2 linked regions of the Callithrix jacchus genome follow. The protein of the gene in region 2 interacts with the protein of the main gene of each other region in a pairwise test. Links are inferred from orthologs where the notes say so. Each region holds a gene or a part of one and is shown on either strand. Other genes may lie near its edges. The genes, in order: AP4M1 and USP47.

Region 1 (10,842 bases), on a different chromosome or scaffold from region 2:
CATTCCCCACCAGGGGGCTCTGTGCAGGGCTGTGTGGGCTGTACCCCAAAGAGCTGAAGCCCAGCCCAACTCCATTAGCCAAAGCTTTTTCCTTTTTTTTTTTTTTTGAAGAGACTGGGTCTCACTATGTTGCCCAGGCTGGTCTGGAACTCCTGGGCTCAAGTGATCCTCCAACCTCAGCCTCCCAAAGTGCTGGGATTACAGGCATGAGCCACCATGCCCAGCCCAAGCCTTTTTCCAATCTGCACTTCATCACCTCTACCACCACCCCCACTCTGCAGTGAGTGTTGGGAACATACACATCCTCTCTTGGGCTCCAAGGTACTTCTGGAACCCAGGAAATGGTCTCACCGGCCTGAGCCTCGGTCCCACTGTACAGAGGGGAAGAGCCGGAAGGGGAGTGGTGAGAGGAGGTCATCGGAGAGTTGGTACCGCATCACAGTCAGCTGAGAGACCAGAGAGCAACAGGGTCAGTTTGGTCTCCTCAACCCCACACTGCCCCCTTCCCCATGGTGGACAGAATTTACAGGGCTACCCCAATCCTGACCTCGCCCTGAGGTGGCTGCAAGCGGATGATTCGATGAGACTCAAACTCGTCCAGATTAACGGAGCTGTGAAATGAGACTTCATCGACCCGGATTCCTGGCCCATAACCTGGAAAGAGAGACTTCTCTCCTGACTCCTTTTGGGAGAGGGAGAAAGGAGGGGGAAGATCCGTCTCTGACTTCTCTCCATGAACTCTCTGGCAATGAGAGACCTACCCCAGAGAGAGACAGACCCTTTCTCCTCACCTCTCAGCTCTGACTTCCCCACACAAAACTCTTCCGTCAAGCCAATGCGCATCTCTGGCAGAGGAAAGAACATTAGGAGAGCTCGCAAACTCCACGGTGTAAAACATCAAGGAACCTGCCCCAACCCCAACCCTGGGTCCTGCCTGCAGATGCCTCACCAGAGCCACTGGGAAGGAAGCTCTTGAGCCGAATCTCTCCCTGCACATCCACCTTCAGTAGGGAGCCCTGAGAGGCAGAGGTCAAGGTTGGAATTTTTCTTTTTTTTTTTTTTTTGAGACAGACTCTTGGTCTGTCACCCAGGCTGGAATGCAATGGTGCAATCTCAGCTCACTGCAACCTCTGCCTACCAGGTTCAATCGGTTCTCCTCACAGCCTCCCAACTAGCTGGGATTACAGGTGCCTGCAAGCACGCTTGGCTAAATTTGTCTTTTCAGTAGAGATGGAGTTTCATCATGTTGGCCAAGCTGGTCTCAAACTCCTGACCTCAAGTGATCCACCAGCCTCGGCCTCTCAAACCGCTGGGATTACAGGCATGAGCCACCGTGCTGACTTCTTTCTTTAAAGAGACAGCGTCTTGCTCTCTCACCCAGGCTAGAGTGCTTTGGTGCCATCCTGGCTCACTGAGGCCTCAATCTCCTGGGCTCAAGCGATCATCCTGCCTCAGCCTCCCAAGTAGCTGGGACAGCAGGTGTACACTACCATGCCTGGGTAATTTTTTTGTATTTTGTAGAGTCAGGATCTGGCTATGTTGCCCAGGCTGGTTTCAAATTCCTGGCCCCAAGTAATTATCCCATCTCTGCCTCCCAAAGCACTGGGATTATAAGCATGAGCCACCGTGCCCAGCCATTGCTGGAGTCTTAGCCACCCCAACATGTGTCCCAAATCTCATTTGTCCTCAGCTCAAGGGATGGGAGCTCAAACTTACATTAGATGCTATCAGTACAGATAATCTCTCAACCACATCCAAAAAAACTTCATTCTTCTGGCTCTGAGAAAGAGAGAGGATTTGGGTCGTTGGAAGCAGAACAGTCTATGTTCTGAAGTGGACAGACAGAAGAAAGAACAGAAGAATGGTCAAAGCTACAGCTCTAGGGTAGGGACACAGGTGCCAGAAGGGATACCCACATCTAGGAGAGGTGGAAAACGTACCAAGATCTTTTTTTTTTTTAATTTTTGCATTTTTAGTAGAGATGGGGTTTCACCATGTTGACCAGGCTGCTCTCAAACTCCTGATGTCAGGTGATCTGCCTACCTCAGCCTCCCCAAATGCTGGGATTACAGACATGAACCACTGTGCCCAACCTAAAATCTTGGACTCTGGGGTCCCAGAGCAAAACCACAAGGTTGGACCCCATGGATCCCTCTCTCACCTGGTCAGAGCGACTGGACAGAATGGGGCGGCTGGCTGCACTGCTGGGGGCCACTTTGCTCTGTTGTGTCTCAGCCCCAAACTGTAAAGTATCCAAAGCAATCAATCCTCAGGTCTGACAACCCCAGGCAACACCCCTTCTCCTTCCTCACCCTCCTCTTTTTCTCTGCTGACCAAGCCAACACTGCTGAGGTCAAAGAGGCTGAAGGGCTTGCTGACCACAGCTTCCGTCTGGATGAAATTCCTCAGCATCTCCATAGATGTGGTCTGTACGTAGCCATAATCCTAGCGTAAAAGAAGGACAGTCTGAGAAGTCAGTGGAGGGAAGGGGTAAAAAAGGTGAAGTGGGGGCCGGGTGCAGTGGCTCACCCCTGTAATCCCAGCACTTTGTGAGGCCAAGGCAGGTGGATCATGAGGTCAGGAGTTCCAGACCAGCCTGACCAACATAGTGAAACCCCATTTCTACTAAAAATACAAAAAATTAGCCAGGCAGGTGGCATGTGCCTGTAGTCCCAGCTACTCAGGAGGCTGAGGCAGAAGAATCACTTGAACTCAAGAGGCAGAGGTTGCGGTGACCAGAGATCCAGCCACTGCACTCCAGCCTGGGCGCCAGAGACTCCTGTCTCCATAAAAAATAAACAATTAGTTGGGCACAGGGGAGGCTGGGGCAGGAGGATTACTTGAGCCCAGGAGTTCCAGGTTACAGTGAGCTATGACTGCACCACTGCACTCCAGCCTGGGTGACAGAGCAAAGACCCTATCTCTAAAAGGTAAAAAAAAAAGGAGTAGACTTGGTCTCCCAACCACAGCATCCCGCAGTAGAAGAGCAGAAGTATCTCCAGGGGAATTGGGGGGCGGGCACAGAAGGGGATCATTGATTCTCACCAGCACTTCATCCAGGAGCTCGTAGACCACAGCCACGTTGCGGGAGATGGTCCCCTCACCCAGGGCGCCACAGTAATCGCCCAGAAGGGTGGCCAACCTGAAGAAACACTTGGGAGTATGCATTTCCTCCTCCTCTTAGACCCCCACTAGCTACCAGGTGTCCAGCCCAGCCCTCCTCACCTGGAGAGCAGTTCTAGGAGGCCGAAGGGAGAAACGTTTTCTGAAGTTGTGACCACCAAATAGAGGCCGCTGTGTCTGATGTGAATGAAATGACGGCCCTCGTGATGCTGAGACACAGGCAGGTAGAGTAGCATTAGGAAAAAGGAGCTGGGGTGATCAGAACCCAGGAGACCTGAGCTCGGATCCCGATGCCTCTTACTAGTCACAGTAGCAGTGACTTCGGGAGATACATGACAGGTTCCTGAACCCAGCTTCCCAATGTGGAAACGGGGTTAATTACAGTAGCTACACCTAGTTGCTGAGGATGGAGTCATAAAGGGAGCTGGGCCTGGTGTTTTGCTGCCACCTGATGTAAGTTTTTTTTGTCCCAACGTCCCCCCCCCCCCGACCCCTGCCCGATGTAGTCTTGCTCTGTCACCCAAGCTGGAGTGCAGTGTGGCGATCTCGGCTCACTGCAGCCTCTGCCTCACGGGTTCAAGCGAGTCTCCTGGCTCAGCCTCCCTAGTAGCTGGGATTACAGGCGCTCACCACTAGGCCTGGCTAATTTTTTTGTATTTTTAGTAGAGGCGGGGGTTTCACCAGGTTGGCCAGGCTGGTTTCGAACTCCTGACCTCAGGTGATCCGCCCCCCTCGGCCTCCCAAAGTGCTGGGATTACAGGCATGAGACACCGGGCCTCTTGTTAGTTTTATATGGAAGAATGCACCCCATCCCAAGTGGAAGCTACCAAGGAATCAGCCCTGGGAGGGAGCCGGCGGGCCAGGTGGGCGCCGGCTCCCTGCTCCCCACCCGCCTCCCGCCAGTGGTTACCATGACAACCGGGGACTCGTCTCCTGGCAGTCCCGTCAGCTTCCGGTAGAAGAGCTCGGCCACATCCCGGCCGCCACTGTCCCCACGGACTGGCGGGTGGAAGAACTCAGTGAAGAAGCCTGCGACACGGGCTGGCCCCGGGCGCCCCTCCCGCCCGACACCTCCGCCCCTTCCCAGCCCCGCGGGTCTAGGATACAGTCTTTGTAGATGAGCGGGTCCCCCTTGGAGGACAGAATGAAGAACTGGGAAATCATGGCCGTTCTGGAGAGTAAACGAGAAGACGGCGAAAGTTGGGCCTGCCCCGCCCTGAGGCCCCGGAACAAAGGAACACGCGTGCGCTGGCCCTTTAAGAGCGATTCTGCTCCGCCTAAGCCAGCTCGGACCGCGGGAAACCAGACGCCCGCCCAGCCTAGCTCGGCGATTCCCTCCCGACGCCCACACCGCCTCCCCGTCACTCATTCCAGGTCCTCCTGGTGATTGGCTTGAGGCTAGCTGGAGGCGGGGAGAGGGCCGGCCTCTGCAATTGGCCGGCAGGCAGTGGCGCCGGTCACGTGGGGGCGACGTTTCGCGCCAATTTCGGTTGGTCAGCCACAGTCCACCGCGCGGACGTTCTCCGCTTGCCCGGGACCCAGACCTCTGAGTCCGCCAAGCGCTGCCGTACGGGCCTCGGTAGTGATGGCACTGAAGGACTACGCGATCGAGAAAGGTACTGCTCTACGAGCCTGGGAGGGCGTCCTGCGCGGGGAGCCTCCCGGGGAACACCTATTGGTGTGAGCTGGGGTCTTGTGGAGCCGGGATCAGCAAGTTCTGGGGACCACAAGGCTAGAGGCAGGGTCGGGCGGCCGCCCGGCTGAGGCCCACGAGGCGCAGGTGGCATCCATGTTGAAGAAAAGCTGGTAATCCCACGTAGTAAAGGTGTTAGGGTCATGGAGTTGGGGGCTTGGGGGCGCTAACCTGGCTGGGGGGGTGCTGCATAGGGGAGAATCGCGCCCAAGACCTCGGAGTACCCTAAGGACTCTGGGGTTCCGGGCCTGCTTTCCTCCGCGCTTTTGGGCATTCCCCAGTTCCCGCGTCCTCCCGAGGCGCGCGGAGGCCCTGGGGGCGGGCAGGCCGGGCCGCTACGCACCAGGATTGGCCGTTTGAGGCCGCCCTCCAAGCGGAAGTGGAGCCGGGCGGAAGTGGCGCGACGCGGATGGAGGGAGTGTCGTGTAAACAGTGTCCTTCCGCGCAGCGGCCTCGGAGAGAGCTGTGGCCCAGGGGAGGGGGCGTGCCTGGGAACCGGGAGCTTCGCTCGTGCCCCGGAAAGGCGGTAGTGGGCTGGGATCGCGGCGGCCCCAGGCGTGTTGTCCAATGGCTGGATGGGCTCCCGCCCTGGGCGGAGGAATCCCGGGCTGTGAGGCGGCTGGAATCCGGTCCCATGTGCTTCTTTGTTTACTAAGAGCGGAAGCGCTGGCGGGAGCGGGGGTGGGGTGCGCGACCCGCCTGATGGCGGAGGTCCTGGCGAGATCAGGGGCTCAGGGGCCCAAAGAAGGTGGGGGATCATAGGGGTGGAAGGAAGGCTGAGAACCTTGAGATCGGAGTGTGGGGCGCCGATGAGGAAGGGCGCTAGGGTTTTAAAGTAGGGACCGGAATTCCCCTGGGAAGACGATGTTGGATCATCCTGTGAACTGCCACGACCTCTTTATTCTTCGCTGATTAAAAACAAACTTGTGAAAAAGAGTTATACCCATTTTGGGGAGAATTCGGTAGGTTTATTTAAATGCTCATATCGTTAACTAGTTCATAAATCGTGTTTTAAGTGAAAATAGGCGTCTTAGATTTCTGTCAGAGGGATGGGCAGTAATATAAAGTTTGTGTCTTATGATTTTACCTTTTACGTTACAGAAAAGGTTAAGAAGTTCTTACAAGAGTTCTACCAGGATGATGAACTTGGGAAGAAGCAGTTCAAGTATGGGAACCAATTGGTGAGTCTAAGATTGGGTAAAGAGAATGAGGAGTCGGGTTTTAAGAAGTCCTAAGAAGCGGCTTGTTTCATCAAGGATGTTTTTCTGACATGTTTATCAGGGCATTTGATATCTGGTAAGAGAATGTGATGCTATAGTATTTTCATAATAATTAGAGAGTTTGGGGGCTGAGAAGTGAGTGTGCTCTCTGAGGTGCTATGTTCTCCCCTGTGGATGCCCAGAGCCCGTGCTGAGCTCTCAGTGATGCATCTTCACACGTGAACACTGAACAAGTGAACATGGCTCTGAGGTGTTGCTGTCTCTTTCCCACCTGAGGTTCGGCTGGCTCATAGGGAACAGGTGGCTCTGTACGTGGACCTGGATGATGTAGCTGAGGATGACCCTGAGTTGGTGGACTCAATTTGTGAGAATGCCAGGCGCTACGCAAAGCTGTTTGCTGATGCGGTACAAGAGCTGCTGCCTCAGTACAAGGAGAGGGAGGTGAGTGACTGGAGAACAATGCAGGGCAAGGCGTTTCAGCTTCTGTTAAGAAGCTTCTCAGATACTGATGTTTTCGGAGCCAGGCAGAAAGCAGGGGCACTTCTGCCTGGCATTGTCTGTGCTCTCCTTTCCCCATCCTGTTACTCATTTTTTTCTGCTCTTCTCCTTTAGGTGGTAAATAAAGATGTCCTGGATGTTTATATTGAACATCGGCTTATGATGGAGCAGCGGACTCGGGACCCTGGGATGGCCCGAAGCCCCCAGAACCAGTATCCCGCTGAACTCATGCGCAGATTGTGAGTGGTCTCTGTTGGGAAGGATGTAGGGATTGGTTTGTGACTCCAGGATCTTGTTTGTGACTGTTTTCTCCTCTTAGTGAGCTGTATTTTCAAGGCCCAAGCAGCAACAAGCCTCGTGTGATCCGGGATGTGCGAGCTGACTCTGTGGGGAAATTGGTGACTGTGCGTGGAATCGTCACCCGTGTCTCTGAAGTCAAACCCAAGATGGTAGTGGCCACTTACACTTGTGACCAGTGCGGGGCAGAGACCTACCAGCCGGTACGTGTGGAGGAAGGAGCAGGAAAGCACTTCACACTTAGTCATTTTATAGAAATTGATATGATCCATGATGCCTATCGTTTTTTCTGGTTGTAAAAGCTACCTATGTGTTCACTTTTCATTCTTGGGTATGTAGTGGTCTTTCTATTTTCTGGGTGTCTTCTGTTGTCTAGAATAAGCTCAAAGAGTTCTTGATTCAGAAGATGTCTGCCATGAAGAGAAAACATGATTCAAGAGACCGAGATGGGGCTGTTTTTCTTCTGACTTCCTTTGGTGTTTCTGTTCTCAATCCTAGATTCAGTCTCCCACTTTCATGCCTCTGATCATGTGCCCAAGCCAGGAGTGCCAAACCAACCGCTCAGGAGGGCGGCTGTATCTGCAGACACGGGGCTCCAAATTCATCAAATTCCAGGAGATGAAGATGCAAGAACATGTGAGTTTGGGGTATGTGGCCCTGGGCAGGTGGATCAGGAGTCCACTTGAATCCTGTAGTCACTGGTGGAATGGCAAGAAGAACAAAAGAGGGAAGTGCAGGAGTGAGGTGGAACTGGGGTTTCTTGAGAGCCTTGGCAAGGGGAGAAAGGCAGTCTCAGCTTCCGTCCTGTGGGCTTATCTGTGGCTGGGCAGGCAGGGAGTCTTGGCGTGGGATGCCTAGGGAGGGAAGGTTGGGTCCTTGTTTATTTCTCCTGAGCCTTATGTGCTCTTCCCTCCCCTAGAGTGACCAAGTACCCGTGGGAAATATCCCTCGTAGTATCACAGTGCTGGTAGAAGGAGAGAACACAAGGATCGCCCAGCCTGGAGACCATGTCAGTGTCACTGGTATCTTCCTGCCAGTCTTGCGCACTGGGTTCCGACAGGTGGTACAGGTAAGGAAGGGAGTTTGATATGAGGAACAGATCATCCCATTTCCCCTCACCCACTGTACCCATACAGAGAAAAGTGAGTAGCAAAGCACCAAACAAAACAACACAGTGCTTTATCAAGAAATTGTTAGGGAATCTGGTGATGGGTAAGTTCTAAGGATTGCATCTGTATCCTGACATTTTCCTGCCTAAGGGTTTACTCTCAGAAACCTACCTGGAAGCCCATCGGATTGTGAAGATGAACAAGAGTGAGGATGATGAGTCTGGGGCTGGAGAGCTCAGCAGGGAGGAGCTGAGGCAGATTGCAGGTGATGCTCAGGAGAGAGAGGAAATTCCGTTTACATCCTACCCCCCCATTTTCCCCCACAAAATACCTTAACCTTAAAATTCTCCACAGAGGAGGATTTTTACGAAAAGCTGGCAGCTTCAATTGCCCCAGAGATATATGGGCATGAAGATGTGAAGAAGGCACTGCTGCTCCTGCTAGTGGGGGGTGTGGACCAGTCTCCTCGAGGCATGAAAATCAGGGGTAAGAAGAAAAAAGGGCAAGGCTCAGGGTAGATGAAGTCATTTGGGAGGAAAAAAGGATGACAAGTGTCCCCATAGGTCACAGTATAAGAGTGGGCGTCTTCGATTCATGGACACAGGGAGGGCTTAGAAGTAATGCTAGGTGTTGGGGGAGGCAGAATTCAAAATTGCTCTGCTGTTGGCCAACTTGCACTGGGAGAAGAGTCATTCCTGGGCTGCCTGTCTTCCTCTAGGCAACATCAACATCTGTCTGATGGGGGATCCTGGTGTGGCCAAGTCTCAGCTTCTGTCATATATCGATCGCCTGGCCCCCCGCAGTAAGTAGTTGGACTTTGAGAGGGGTGAACATAGTGACAGACAGGACCACAGGGTTTATTCAAAAAGTGGGGGTGCATAGTGGCTTACACCTGTAATCTCAGTGCTCTCAGGCTGAGACAGGAGAATCATTTGGGGCCAAGAGTTTGAGACCAGCCTGGGCACCATAGTGAGACCCCGTCTCTACTAAAAAGGGCTTTTTTTTATTATTATTATTTTTGTTTGTTTGTTTTTGTTTTGAGACAGTCTCACTTTGTCGCCCAGGCTGGAGTACAGTGGCGTGGTCTCAGCTCACTGCAACCTCCACCTGCTGAATTCAAGTGATTCTCCTGCCTCAGCGCCCCACAGAACCTTGGGCATCCCGGGGAAGGCCTGGGGCAGGTGGAACAATCCCAGCGCAGCCCCCCCTCTCTGGCTCATTTCTTGTCTTTTGCTTGCTCTCTCTCTCGTTCCTTTCTATCTCCTAACATGGCTCCTTATTTCTTCTCTTCCAGGCCAGTACACAACAGGCCGGGGCTCCTCAGGAGTGGGACTTACAGCAGCTGTGCTGAGAGACTCCGTGAGTGGAGAACTGACTTTAGAGGGTGGAGCCCTGGTGCTGGCTGACCAGGGCGTGTGCTGCATTGATGAGTTTGACAAGATGGCTGAGGCCGACCGAACAGCCATCCACGAGGTCATGGAACAGCAGACCATTTCTATCGCCAAGGCTGGCATCCTCACCACACTCAATGCCCGCTGCTCTATCCTGGCTGCTGCCAACCCTGCCTATGGTCGATACAACCCTCGCCGCAGCCTGGAGCAGAACATACAGCTGCCTGCTGCACTGCTTTCCCGGTTTGACCTCCTCTGGCTGATTCAGGACCGGCCTGACCGTGACAATGACCTACGGTGAATGAAGCTCAACACCCAAAGAGAGGTCCCCTGTAATGATCTGTGGCAGGGGCCGGGGGTGAATCAAAATAAATACCCAGCTCCTGGAAATCCCAGAACCTCCTCCTTGTGTCAGGGACTGGTCCAAGGTTCTCAGGAAAATGGTGGGTTGGGGCTGAAATGCTAATGAGGATTTCCCAGGAAAGCTTGTTCCTGCTATACCATGAGATGGGTGGAGCCAAGGGAGGGATACCTAAGAGGACATGGGTATGTAGCCCTATAAAGGGTGTTCCTCCTCACCTCCCCTCTATCCAGGTTGGCCCAGCACATCACCTATGTGCACCAGCACAGCCGGCAGCCCCCCTCCCAGTTTGAACCTCTGGACATGAAGCTCATGAGGTAGGAGAGCTGGGTGCAGATGGGCACACATTGTCAGCATGGGCCATGCAAGCCTCCTCAAAAGGCTTTAGTCTTAGGGTATTTTCACACCACCACTTCCTGCTTCTGACACGTCCAGAGCCTGAAAATAGTCAGGGTCCCCCTGGAGCCTGGTCAAATGAGAATAACTTTTAAGTGGAAAACTCCACACTTCATGTGAAAGGGACACAGGAAACTTTTGCTTCCTATACACAAATTTTTTTGGTTTTTGAAACAGAGTTGCTCTGCCGCCAGGCTGGAGTGCAGTGGCGTCGTCTTGGCTCACCGCAACCTCTGCCTCCTGAGGGTCAAGTGATTCCCCCTGCCTAAGTCTCTTGAGTAGCTGGGACTACAGATGCCCACCACCACGCACAGCTAGTTTTTTGCATTTTAGTAGAGACAGGGTTTCACCATATTGGCCAGGATGGTCTTGATCTCCTGACCTGGTGATCCGCCCACCTCAGCCTCCCAAAGTGCTGGGGTAACAGGCTTGAGCCACTGTGCCTGGCCCACACAACTATTTTTAATAAAATTGCTTTAAGTTATGTGTATCAGTTGTATATGAAATATAGGTGAATTTCATGTTTAGACTGGAGTCTCATTCCAAGCTATATCTGTTTTGCCATGTCATGCACTCAGTGGAGGGGAGTGGATCATTTAATGACAGACGGATTTGTCTTACTATCACAAAGGCCATTTTCCAGGGGGGGAAAATGGAAATAATTTGGAGGATACTGGGAGCAGGGGCTATAGATTTGGAGAAATCCATCAATGATGATCAAGCTAAGCAAATAATCATCCATTAATTTGTTTTT
Region 2 (10,255 bases):
GTTTTCTTATTCACCATGTTTACGATTTCAATGAAAATAGTATTTCATTTACTCTTTCAATGAAGTAAATAAGCCTAGTACAAATTTTCAAATATAGTAAAATGGCCAACAATCTCCTTTTTAAAGATTTTATTAACTGTTCTAAGATGGAATTCAGACTTTTCAAACTATAATTCTAAGCATTCCCACTGAATTCTTCCTAAGGTTGAGACTATTATCCAGTCGAATTTTTAGCACATCATCCTAAAACAGAGACCACTTAAAAGAAATTTCCAACCTTTTACTAAAGTGGAACTACTTTTAATTTTTCTAATGCCCTCGATGGGTTGAGTATGGTAAAAAAGCAGACTAGTTACCACTATTTTTCCTTTACTAATATGTAAGGAAAAAACAGTGGCAGCAGCCATGGGGTGGTGGCTCCTAATATCTGAGTCTCATCCTAGCAGTGTGAGCTGGGTGACCGCAGGCAAATTACTTAATCTGTTCGACCAGTTTCTTCATCAGTGAAAACGGCCTAATGATATCAGTTTCACACAGCTGTTAAGAGAACTAAGATTGTATTTGCATGCTGATCTCATGTAAGCTAATGAGTCTTATGAGGTAAATGCTCCATAGAAATTTAAAGCATTATTATAATATGATTGCCCTTTCTCCATTTTGTCCGGCCAATCCTCATTTTCACACTTGAGTTTCTGCAAGATATATGTATGAATGTCATATGATTCCAGTGTTATTTAACACAACTAGTTAAAAACACAAATTTAAATACTTGTATTTCATAATTTCTACTACTTCCTTTTAGCAGATAGAATTTTGAGAATATAAGAATCATAGCACTTAACTTTTAGAGCGGGTGACTCTGTACCTCCTCCTCCTGAGATGAAACAAAAGGCTGCATCTCAGTCGTCTCTACTTCTAACAGCTACACAGGGCCTGGCATCTAGCATGGATTTAGAAAATATTACTTGGATGGATGGATGAATGGATGGACAAAGAGTGGGGCTCTTCTCCAAAGGTAAAAGGAACAATTAGATGCCTTCAGTTCTAGTAATGGCCCCACTTACTAGCTACACATGCACTTTTGGGCAAGTCATTCATCCTCTATGAGCTTTGGTTTTCTTATCTGTCAAATAAGGATACTAATGTTTGCTTTATTAAGTTTGGAGAAGGTTTAAGTAAGAACAAATAAGCTAAAATATAAAAATATAAATAGTATTAATATTTGCTTTTTTAGAACTAATGCAAAGTATTTACTTTTTCGGCTATTTCTCTTTTATACTTGGAAGAAATATTTTGTATCTTAATCCTGGTTGTCTCGCTAATTATTTGGCTGGCCCTCATCTAAGGTTTTATAAAGGTTCTTTTATTTTAAGTCTCATACAATGCTGGAATGTTTTTGTTGTTACCACTTATGCTAAATGCCCAAACTCTCAGATCTCTTCCATCTTTCTGAGATTATGCATTGGAATTTCTAGTAACTCCTTGCTTTGGATTTACTTCAAAGTAACAAAAAAAATTTTTAAAAGCGCTTTTTCTTACTCTGACTTTCGCAGTTAATTATGGACTTTTAAGGGGGTGTAGCAAGGAAATTGTCGTTTGCACTGGAAAATGGAGACAAGAGCATGTAGAAATAAAACAGTTTGTGGGCATTGAATACCAAATTTTCTAAAGTGTCCGAGCTTTTTAAAAACATATTACTTACTTTTTAATATATTCCTGAATTTTTTACTTAGTAACTGTATTCATAATTCTTTCCTAATATTGAATATTATTTTTTTACTTATGTCAGAGTTCTGACATAATTAACATCTAATTTATTGCACAGGTCTAAGAACAGTGTTCATTACAACTGCATCAAAAACCAAAGTCAATAGAGAATAATCTTATAATCCAGAAAGTTACAAATGATCTTAGAAATAAGTACCTAACACTTAACTGAAAATTTAAATAAACTGACAGAAAAAATGACGCTGTTTCAGGGACCTTTTTTCTTTTGAAGTACATACATTTATGTCCTTCCCCAGAACCTTCATCTGCAGCATAGGGTTCTGCTTTGAAATACATGTACTGCATTTCTCCCCTACTCTTGCCACTCTCATCATATTCACTATCAGTTCCAGAGTCTTCTTCTGCCGTATCCCATGTCTCTTTTTTCCCTTCATTTGCTTTAGTTCTTCTACTACTTGTAATACTGTGAGAGTCAAGTCCATTAGCCAAAGGGATTTGAGCATTGTCTGCATTGCACAAAGTGTCACTGCTATGACTGGAGCTAAGAATATCACTGTCCACTGAACTTGTACTCCTGTCATTATTCACATCTGAGTCTGATCGTTCCTCAGACTGAAAATTTTCTGGATCAGAAGTCTGAATATGCTGTTCAAGTTCTCTGTTATCCACTGATGCTGAAGAGTCCCTCTCATTGAGAGGTGATTCGATGTTTTCAAAGTCACTTGTCTCAGTACTTTTACTGCTGTCCCCATTATCTCCATCCTGCTGTTGCTGCAGTGATAAGCTTTTGAGTTTTTCAGTGCTTTCTTCTAGAATAGCTTCCACAGACTTTAGGCTTCCTACAGGTCCTTTGACTCTTTCACAATCATCATCCACATTACCAGAATCGCCTCCAGCTTTCTGGTATGCTGTCCTTTTGGAATAAGATCCTGGGGATTGTTCAGGTAGCAAAACAAATAATCTGATTGTATTTGCATGCCGATCCAAGAGTTTCCATAAGTGAGAGTCTGCAAAGGCCATCTGGTAATCCAAAGTCTCGGAACTTTCAACAAACACCTACATAGTAAATCAGAGTTTTATTATATGTTAATTTCAGTGACATTCTCATTCATCATAATCATAATATTGCATCAGTACAAGACAATACACGGTTATGTTATAAAATGCGATGATAAAGTTTCTGAAGGACACTGCATTGTTTTGGAGACTGAATAAAATAAATATTAGGCTCAAATGTCTTTGTAACTAGCCATAAAACTACACAAAGATAGAGGACATGGACATACACATATCCACAAACACCTTGTTTACTGGGATGTCCAATTTCAGAAAGTTGTATTATACATACTTCTCTTTAGGAAATTAATAATCTGGTTTTTCTTTAGATTGTATAAATCCTTCACCTTTAGGAAAACCAAGTTTAGCCTGAATTACAAACATAGGAAACATGTGTAAAGACACCTTGTGAATATAACACCAAAATCCAGATCATCGAAAAATTTAATGGGCAAATAACCTGGTTTTGTAACAAATAAACTGCAAGAAAGCAAATGAAAAAGACACAGGAAAATTTACAGAAAAAACTTTTCTAAGATAATCAGAGAAATTTGAATACTGACTAAGATACAGGCTGCTATTAAGGTATTTTTTAGGTACATAATGTAAATTTCATTTTTTTTAAGAGTTCTATTCATTTAGAGATATACATTCATATTATCTATAGATGAAATGATATAATCCTGAGGAAGTTTATCAAATAATCTGGGGGAAGCAGGTAGTTAAAATATAGATAAAACAACAGACGATAACTATAGAAGCTGAGTGATGGGGATGTGGTGGGGGGGGGTCACTCTATTTTCCCTATTCTCTCTACTTTTGTTTATGTTTGAAATTTTCCATAATACATCTTTTTTAAAATATGAAATTCATTTTTGGCATAAATTTGGGGATAATAAATAGCATGTTGGCTTTTGCATAAAAGGATAACACTATCATTATTCTATTCAGTAAATGTTACAAACTGAAACTAGTAGGCTAACCACTTAAGGCAAAAAAAAGTTAGATCCTTCCTGTACTACTTACCCTAAAGTAGTATTGGAGGGGATTAGAGATTTTAATGTTTTACAGATACACATACACCCCCTCTCCCACAACACAAAAGTTTTAGAAGCATAGGTGAATAAAAATTACATATGGGGATTAATAAAATAATACTAAAAAAGTTAAATGAGATAAAAGACTAGACTGTACTAAGATAAATGAGACTAGAAAAAGTGATAGACACATATGAAAAATGATAAATGATGAAACACATAATAATATCAAGACAAAAGAAGAGGATTAACATGAACTTTCTCCTTTCCAATAGAGAAAAATGAGTAGGCAAAGGGAATATTGGTGGGTAAACTCAAGATGATAATTTTTTCTATACCAGGTATGCCTCTGACCTTCACCATGAAGTGAACAAAATTCAGGGGACATAATCACTGTGGGTAGAAATGTTTATGAGGGTTTCACCAAAGAGATAGGACTAATCTAGAGATCGAAAAAAAAAAATGCAGGGAGAGGAGGAAGAACACTTTAGGTGGGAGTGTACATGAGCAAAGGCAAAGAAGAGGAGAACTGTTAAGACTGATTGACAGGACACAAAGGAGCCTGATCTGACATGACTACAAAGGAAGCTAATTATTAGGAAAACCTGAGAATTTTAAGTTAAGTTTCAGACAGATGTTGAACAGCTGTGGAGGCCAGGCTTATAATACTGAACTAATTTTATTTACTATTATCAGCATAGAAAATAGTAATAAAAAAATAAGTGACATACCTTGTTACTTCTAAAAAATCCTTCGGCTTTCAGGGTTTTACTGGGGACACTGAGAAGACGCAAATCATTATAGCAGCGTTCCAGCACAATTCTCATTGTTTCAGCAGGTAAATGGATGGCCTATAATAAAAGCAATTTAATAAAAAATACTCTTTCAAAAATAATTCTGCTTTACTTAGAAAGCAAGACACTGCTGAATTCTTCTTAAAAGCAACAGAGAGAAAAATAATTTACTAGGTTTTAAAAATTTTGAATTAAAGAAAAAAATTAGTTATAGCCATAAATTATGCTGCAAATCAGGAGAACAAAATACCACTTATAAATGTATGCTCTGAAACTATTTTAAAGGTAAGGATTTTGTCCTAGAAATGCTATTCTTCTCAAATTTGCCAAGTAAATGAGTGATCCGATTCCAAAGAAACTGAATAACTTGACATTTTGAGTGATATTAAAATGTTGAACTTCTTGGCTTTTGACAGGCCCTTCTGTAGTCTTGTGAATAGTTGTTATACTTTTATTAAAGCAATAAGCAATTTTCCTTTGTGTGAAATGGGAAGATTAGTAGTTAAAATTTTAAGTTATTCTCTAAGTCTGCATCTTTAAACTCTGGAGTCATTTCATAAATTTCACATGAAAGCAGGTAAAAATTACCTCCGTTTTAAAGAACACAATTTATTTTCAATATGACTTAGGTTATTAGTTATAAAAACCTAATTCTTAAGCAGTCTGATTATACTTTAAAACACTGTCTTTGTTTACATGATGTTTTGTGACCGCCTTTATTCTCTATAGACATATTTTTCTTGGCTCACTGCAACCTCCGCTGTCTTTCTTTTTTTTTTGAGATTCAGTCTTGCTCTATTGCCCAGGCTGGACTGGTGGCACAGCCTCAGCTCACTGTAACCTGTTTCCTGTGTTCAAGCAGTTACCCTGCTTCAGCCCCCAAGGAGCTGGGACTACAGGCATGAGCCACCATGCCTGGCTAATTTTTGTATGTTTATTAGAGATGGGGTTTCACCGTTGACCAGGCTGCTCTTGAACTCCTGACCTCAAATGATCCATCCACATCGGCCTTCCAAAGTGCTGAGATTACAGGCATGAGCCACTATGCCTGGCCTTAGACATATTTTTCTCAATAACATTATTAACTTCTTGGGAAGAAACTATTGTGTCTCTTTCTTTTGTATTATGCCTGAGTGCTTACTAAACTGAATTCTTCTACATTTGGCATTCAAATTTCAAAAATGTAATACAGAGTATATCATACCAACATACTATGCATTTACAAGCAATTTAATCATAAAATATAATTTCACAAAAATGATTTGTTTCCTGGTTATTAATTTAGCAAAACTGTTAGAAGTCATATAAATATAAGTCAAAATATATTTTTAAGAGCATAATAATAACCAACTCTTACGTAACATCTTACAATTTTTTTCCACAGAGCATTTATTTTTCATTAATGCTCACTACAACCCTGTTAAACAGGTATTTAAAACCCCAACTAATGAGATGAAAGACAAGACTACCATAAGATGAATGACTGAAACCTGAACTCGACTTGTAATTATGGAACAATTTCCACTACATGAGGGGATCTTAACCTACGGTTTGAGAACCCTGAAAAATTTTGCCTGTTTGTATGCTCAAGGTTCTGAGGAGTACAGGACCCTTGAAAGGATGATAATCGTTTGTCTGGTATGGACTAATCCTTTTGCCCCCCACCCCAAACTTGAATGTTTTCATTCTCATATTTTTCCAGCTCAAGAAATCTGAATAAGCCTATGTTCTTTATCATTAGCTCATATAATGGCGCCAGTATTTAATTCATCATGCTCCCTGTCAAGTCTACATGGTCACCTTCCTCTTCTATTTTTGTTAATGTATCCCTACTTTTCTGGTTACCCAAGTTTGAAACCTCTGGCTTAGGTCACGGTTGCATCAGCTTTATCCCTACATTTAATAATTACAAGTCCTGCAGATTCTATCCCTCTTGGAATCTATGTGTTCTCTCATTTCCAGTCATACACCTGCACTTGAATTATTTCAACAGCTTCCTCCTCTCCATTCCTGACTCTCTGTAAAGGCATGTGGAACACTAGTATAGTGTCACCAGACACTAAGTGCAGCATTGCCTCACTTAACACCACCACCAGCAAAAAAATCGACTTCTTATTGCCTACACCAAAAAGGAGCCCAAACTTTTGTGTTTACTGTTTAAAGCTCTTTATGAAATAAACTGCACTAATATTTCCAATCCTGTATTTTACGATAATCCAGCCAACACATACAAGTTGTTATATGTACTTGCCCCACATTTTCTTACTTCCTGTTCAATCTGTTTCTTTTAAACCACAGCTGTCTCCTAACTACAAATATTAGCTCCTGGAGGTAGAGCTTGTATCTTATTCATAACTATCACACAGTGTCTTGTATGTAACAGGCACTTAAAAATATATTTACTAACCCCTTTTAAAACTTACCTTTGAAATCAGTTGTTTGAACTCTGTAACCGTCTGATTTAAGTAAGCACGAACAGTTATTGGAGCAGCTACAGATTCTGCTTTTAAATCAACAACGTGAACTTTCACCATCACTTCTGTCACATTTGAAGATATAAACACATAATTGGAGGTTATTTTTTAATGTCTTTCACATGAGTGATGCATTATTAATGTGTTTCTAATAGATGACAAATCCAAACTTCCAAGTACAGACCAAAACAACATTGAATAAATATAAATCACCATATACTGCAAAACAAATATTAAAGGCCACACAGCTCTCCCGCTTGCTTTTGAGTAAATGCCTCATTAAGCCACTCAAAACCTTGTTCATCATCAAAAACTTCCTATTCTCAAAATAGTATTTTCTATATCACAAAGAAAATTCCACACAAAAACTGCTGTGATTATGTATCTGTTTTCTCACTTGAATCCTTTTATTAAAATTAAATCCCATTTTCTTCTCTTCTGTTTTCAGGTTATGTTTATGTAACTACATCGTTAATCTTCAAACACTGTATTTAATATGTAGTTACTATGTATCTGTTTTAACCTCATGTTTTATGTCAATCCTTATTTTTTTCCCTATGTTGTTATCTAAATCTAACAAAATCTTCTGCTAAGATCCAGATTATTAATGAAAGACTACTTTATAAGTCTTACAATCTGCACTCGCATTTAGAGTTCTCTTTCAAATAAGTGGTATTACTGCTGACTCATGTTACACCCTAATCATTCTTTTTCCTGTCTAGCTCAAAAAAAAAAAAAGCAAGAAAATGTCCTTAAGGGACTTTTTATAGATAAGGTAGAGTCTTAACTGAAGCAGGCATCATAAGGTTTTCAGAAATGAAATTTTCCCACTTAAGAGATGTAGGCTCCTTGAAAGAGTATTACATATAACCTACTCTGTAAAGAGATGCCTTCATTTAAAAAGGAGATATACAGGATCCATAAAGGAATATCATTGTAAAAGGGGAGAATAAGGTTTTTTAAGTTCAACATTTAGGAAAACAACACAGAGGACTTAAGTCTGAATTTTAACTAAACAGTGATGCAAAGGAGTTAGGGTCAAGCACAACAGTAAAAATTTTGTAAAATTATTTAAACATTTTGCTTTTCTCCTATTTGTTACAATTTATAGAAAACTCTGGACACAAAACAGACCATGTAACTGTCTTTAAGGAAACTGTGCTGGGTCTGACCAGCAGACCCTGACCCAGTGACAGATGAACAAATGCAGGTATCTAGTGAAAGAGTGGGTTGAGGGTCCAGACAGCTTTCAGAGGTTGAGGAGGGTGCTATAAAGAGTCAGCAGCTGCAGCCCTGGACCAGCTGGCACTCCAGGCATTTATACAGTACAGATTTAATGACAAAGGCTTTGAGTCAACACACTTGCAGATAATGATTAAAGGCCAGGTTCCAAGGCCTAAAGCAAACACCATTTGTGGGTAATAACATTGCTGACCCCCAGAATAGAGAGCAGTCATGTGCTTGAGGGTGTTGAATGGTAGATCTTAGGATCACATGAGTAAACAAGCTCTTTAGATAAATTCCCCCACATTCCTTTGGACCTACTTCTGCCTAACTGCCCCTGGGTAAGAATTGCTGCCTTCAGCTCATTCCTTCCCAAGGCTTTTGAAGAAACCTTCCCGCCTTCTAAAAGGTTTGTGTCTATTTTACAATTTTTCCCACCACCCTGACTGAACCCCTACAAAACTGTCTCTGGAAAAACTAGGGGCATGATATTTTGGTTTTCCTAAGCAGTCTCAAAGGAAAAAAAAAAAAACCAACTCAACGTCCTGAGTGCATGTGATAGATTTAATGAAGAAAGAAAAGCTGAAGTCCCTGAGACCTGTAAAAGTAGAGAGGATGAAGAAAAACTTTAAATGCTGACAGTGATGGGATAATAAATCCACCCTTCCAAAGAAATTCTAAACAGCCTCTACTTCTGAGACTTTATGAAAATATACTTTTTGGACCAAGATCTCCATAAAGAGAAAGAAAGAGAAAGACAGATCTTCCTAAGAGAGCAGCTGATAACTTTAGGGATTTACAGCATCCAAAATGATTCAGTACTGCATACTAAAGAAGAAAAATCCCACTGAAGACTGTAAGCTAGAAGTTTTGTTGTTTTTCATTGTTGTTTTTAAAATTACGTATAAAATTATTTGCAAGTACTCTAGAACTTAATTCCAAGCTGTTGCTGAGTACTTCTCAACCTTTCAAAATTATTCTACATTTTAATACCCTATAAAAAATTTAAATTATGTTCATTTCTTTAATAAAAAACTTCTCATGAAAATTTTAAATAGAGTACATCTCAAAATAGTGTAAAATTAGAGGTTTTAGATACCTCCAGGTTTGTAAGACTGGAAAACCTGATCAGGCTTTCTTGTCTCCAACAGCAGATCAAACATATATGTTGACTTGACACCACCTAGTAGAAGTCCCATTGGTGTATCTTCTTCTCCTTCATATGATCGTTCTAGATAATCATGAAACTCATCGTATTTAACAAGGCGACAGCAATCCAGGGGTATTACCTCTTCTAAATCCATCATCTAAAAGAAAGCAATCCCCAAGAAAGAAAAAAATATATACATATATATAAATATGTATATAGTGTTTTAGTCTGTATATAATTAACACTACCAATAGGCCCTAACAAATAAAATCCACACATTTATGATTGCATCAAAGATATCAAAGTTACAAGTATAACTTAAATGTTATTTTTATATAATTATGTTTCATTAACCCTCAGATCATATAAAGCATGTACTAATTGAAATACATTTTTGTTTTTTAAAAAGCTAACACCATAAATTTTAGATGTAGAAACAAAATCAATGTATTATAACCTACTGCTTGTAATCAACTAAGCTGGAAACATAGAGGAAAACAACCAAACAGCCAACTAGAATATGCATTTTTTGTTTTCTTAATCCAATTGGAAGTAGATTTGATAATTCATGTCTCTAGTAACAATCTAAGTACAGGAGGACAGCATGTCTCATAGATCCATCATGAAGGGTATGGCTTCTGTATCTCTCAGGTGTCACCTCATTCCTCTCCAGATATCCTCTTTCAATATTAGCCTCCAGAATACTTACAGCTCATGGTATAGGAATTTCTATCATAAAATTTCCCTCTAGCTTATGTCACTAATAGATGACATACCCTGGTTGCAACAACT

What was found.
Region 1: the proteins of USP47 (region 2) and AP4M1 interact in binary tests that used the Homo sapiens proteins (3 or more experiments, as listed by UniProt). The two-hybrid records come from large-scale screens. The link is inferred for Callithrix jacchus from reciprocal best matches to the Homo sapiens genes USP47 and AP4M1.

Annotation. Positions count from the first base shown.
Region 1 is NC_133503.1:13,479,653-13,490,494, forward strand, and holds the start of AP4M1 (AP-4 complex subunit mu-1), read right to left. Parts: upstream 5,167-10,842; 5' UTR 4,988-5,166; intron 4,740-4,987; coding exon of another isoform or gene 4,709-4,739; exon of another isoform or gene 4,612-4,708; intron 4,355-4,611; exon of another isoform or gene 4,295-4,354; 5' UTR 4,288-4,294; coding exon 4,230-4,287; intron 4,123-4,229; coding exon 4,034-4,122; intron 4,015-4,033; exon of another isoform or gene 3,951-4,014; intron 3,333-3,950; coding exon 3,226-3,332; intron 3,143-3,225; coding exon 3,046-3,142; intron 2,446-3,045; coding exon 2,335-2,445; intron 2,243-2,334; coding exon 2,162-2,242; intron 1,780-2,161; coding exon 1,717-1,779; intron 1,017-1,716; coding exon 950-1,016; intron 846-949; coding exon 792-845; intron 655-791; coding exon 548-654; intron 447-547; coding exon 352-446; intron 1-351. Other genes in the region: DNA replication licensing factor MCM7, read left to right, coding at 4,709-4,739, 5,918-5,997, 6,313-6,477, 6,649-6,773, 6,854-7,034, 7,330-7,467, 7,751-7,900, 8,091-8,205 and 4 more. UniProt on the Homo sapiens protein: Component of the adaptor protein complex 4 (AP-4). Adaptor protein complexes are vesicle coat components involved both in vesicle formation and cargo selection. They control the vesicular transport of proteins in different trafficking pathways.
Region 2 is NC_133511.1:77,815,590-77,825,844, reverse strand, and holds part of USP47 (ubiquitin carboxyl-terminal hydrolase 47), read right to left. Parts: intron 9,621-10,255; coding exon 9,413-9,620; intron 7,155-9,412; coding exon 7,039-7,154; intron 4,673-7,038; coding exon 4,553-4,672; intron 2,785-4,552; coding exon 2,007-2,784; intron 1-2,006. UniProt on the Homo sapiens protein: Ubiquitin-specific protease that specifically deubiquitinates monoubiquitinated DNA polymerase beta (POLB), stabilizing POLB thereby playing a role in base-excision repair (BER). Acts as a regulator of cell growth and genome integrity.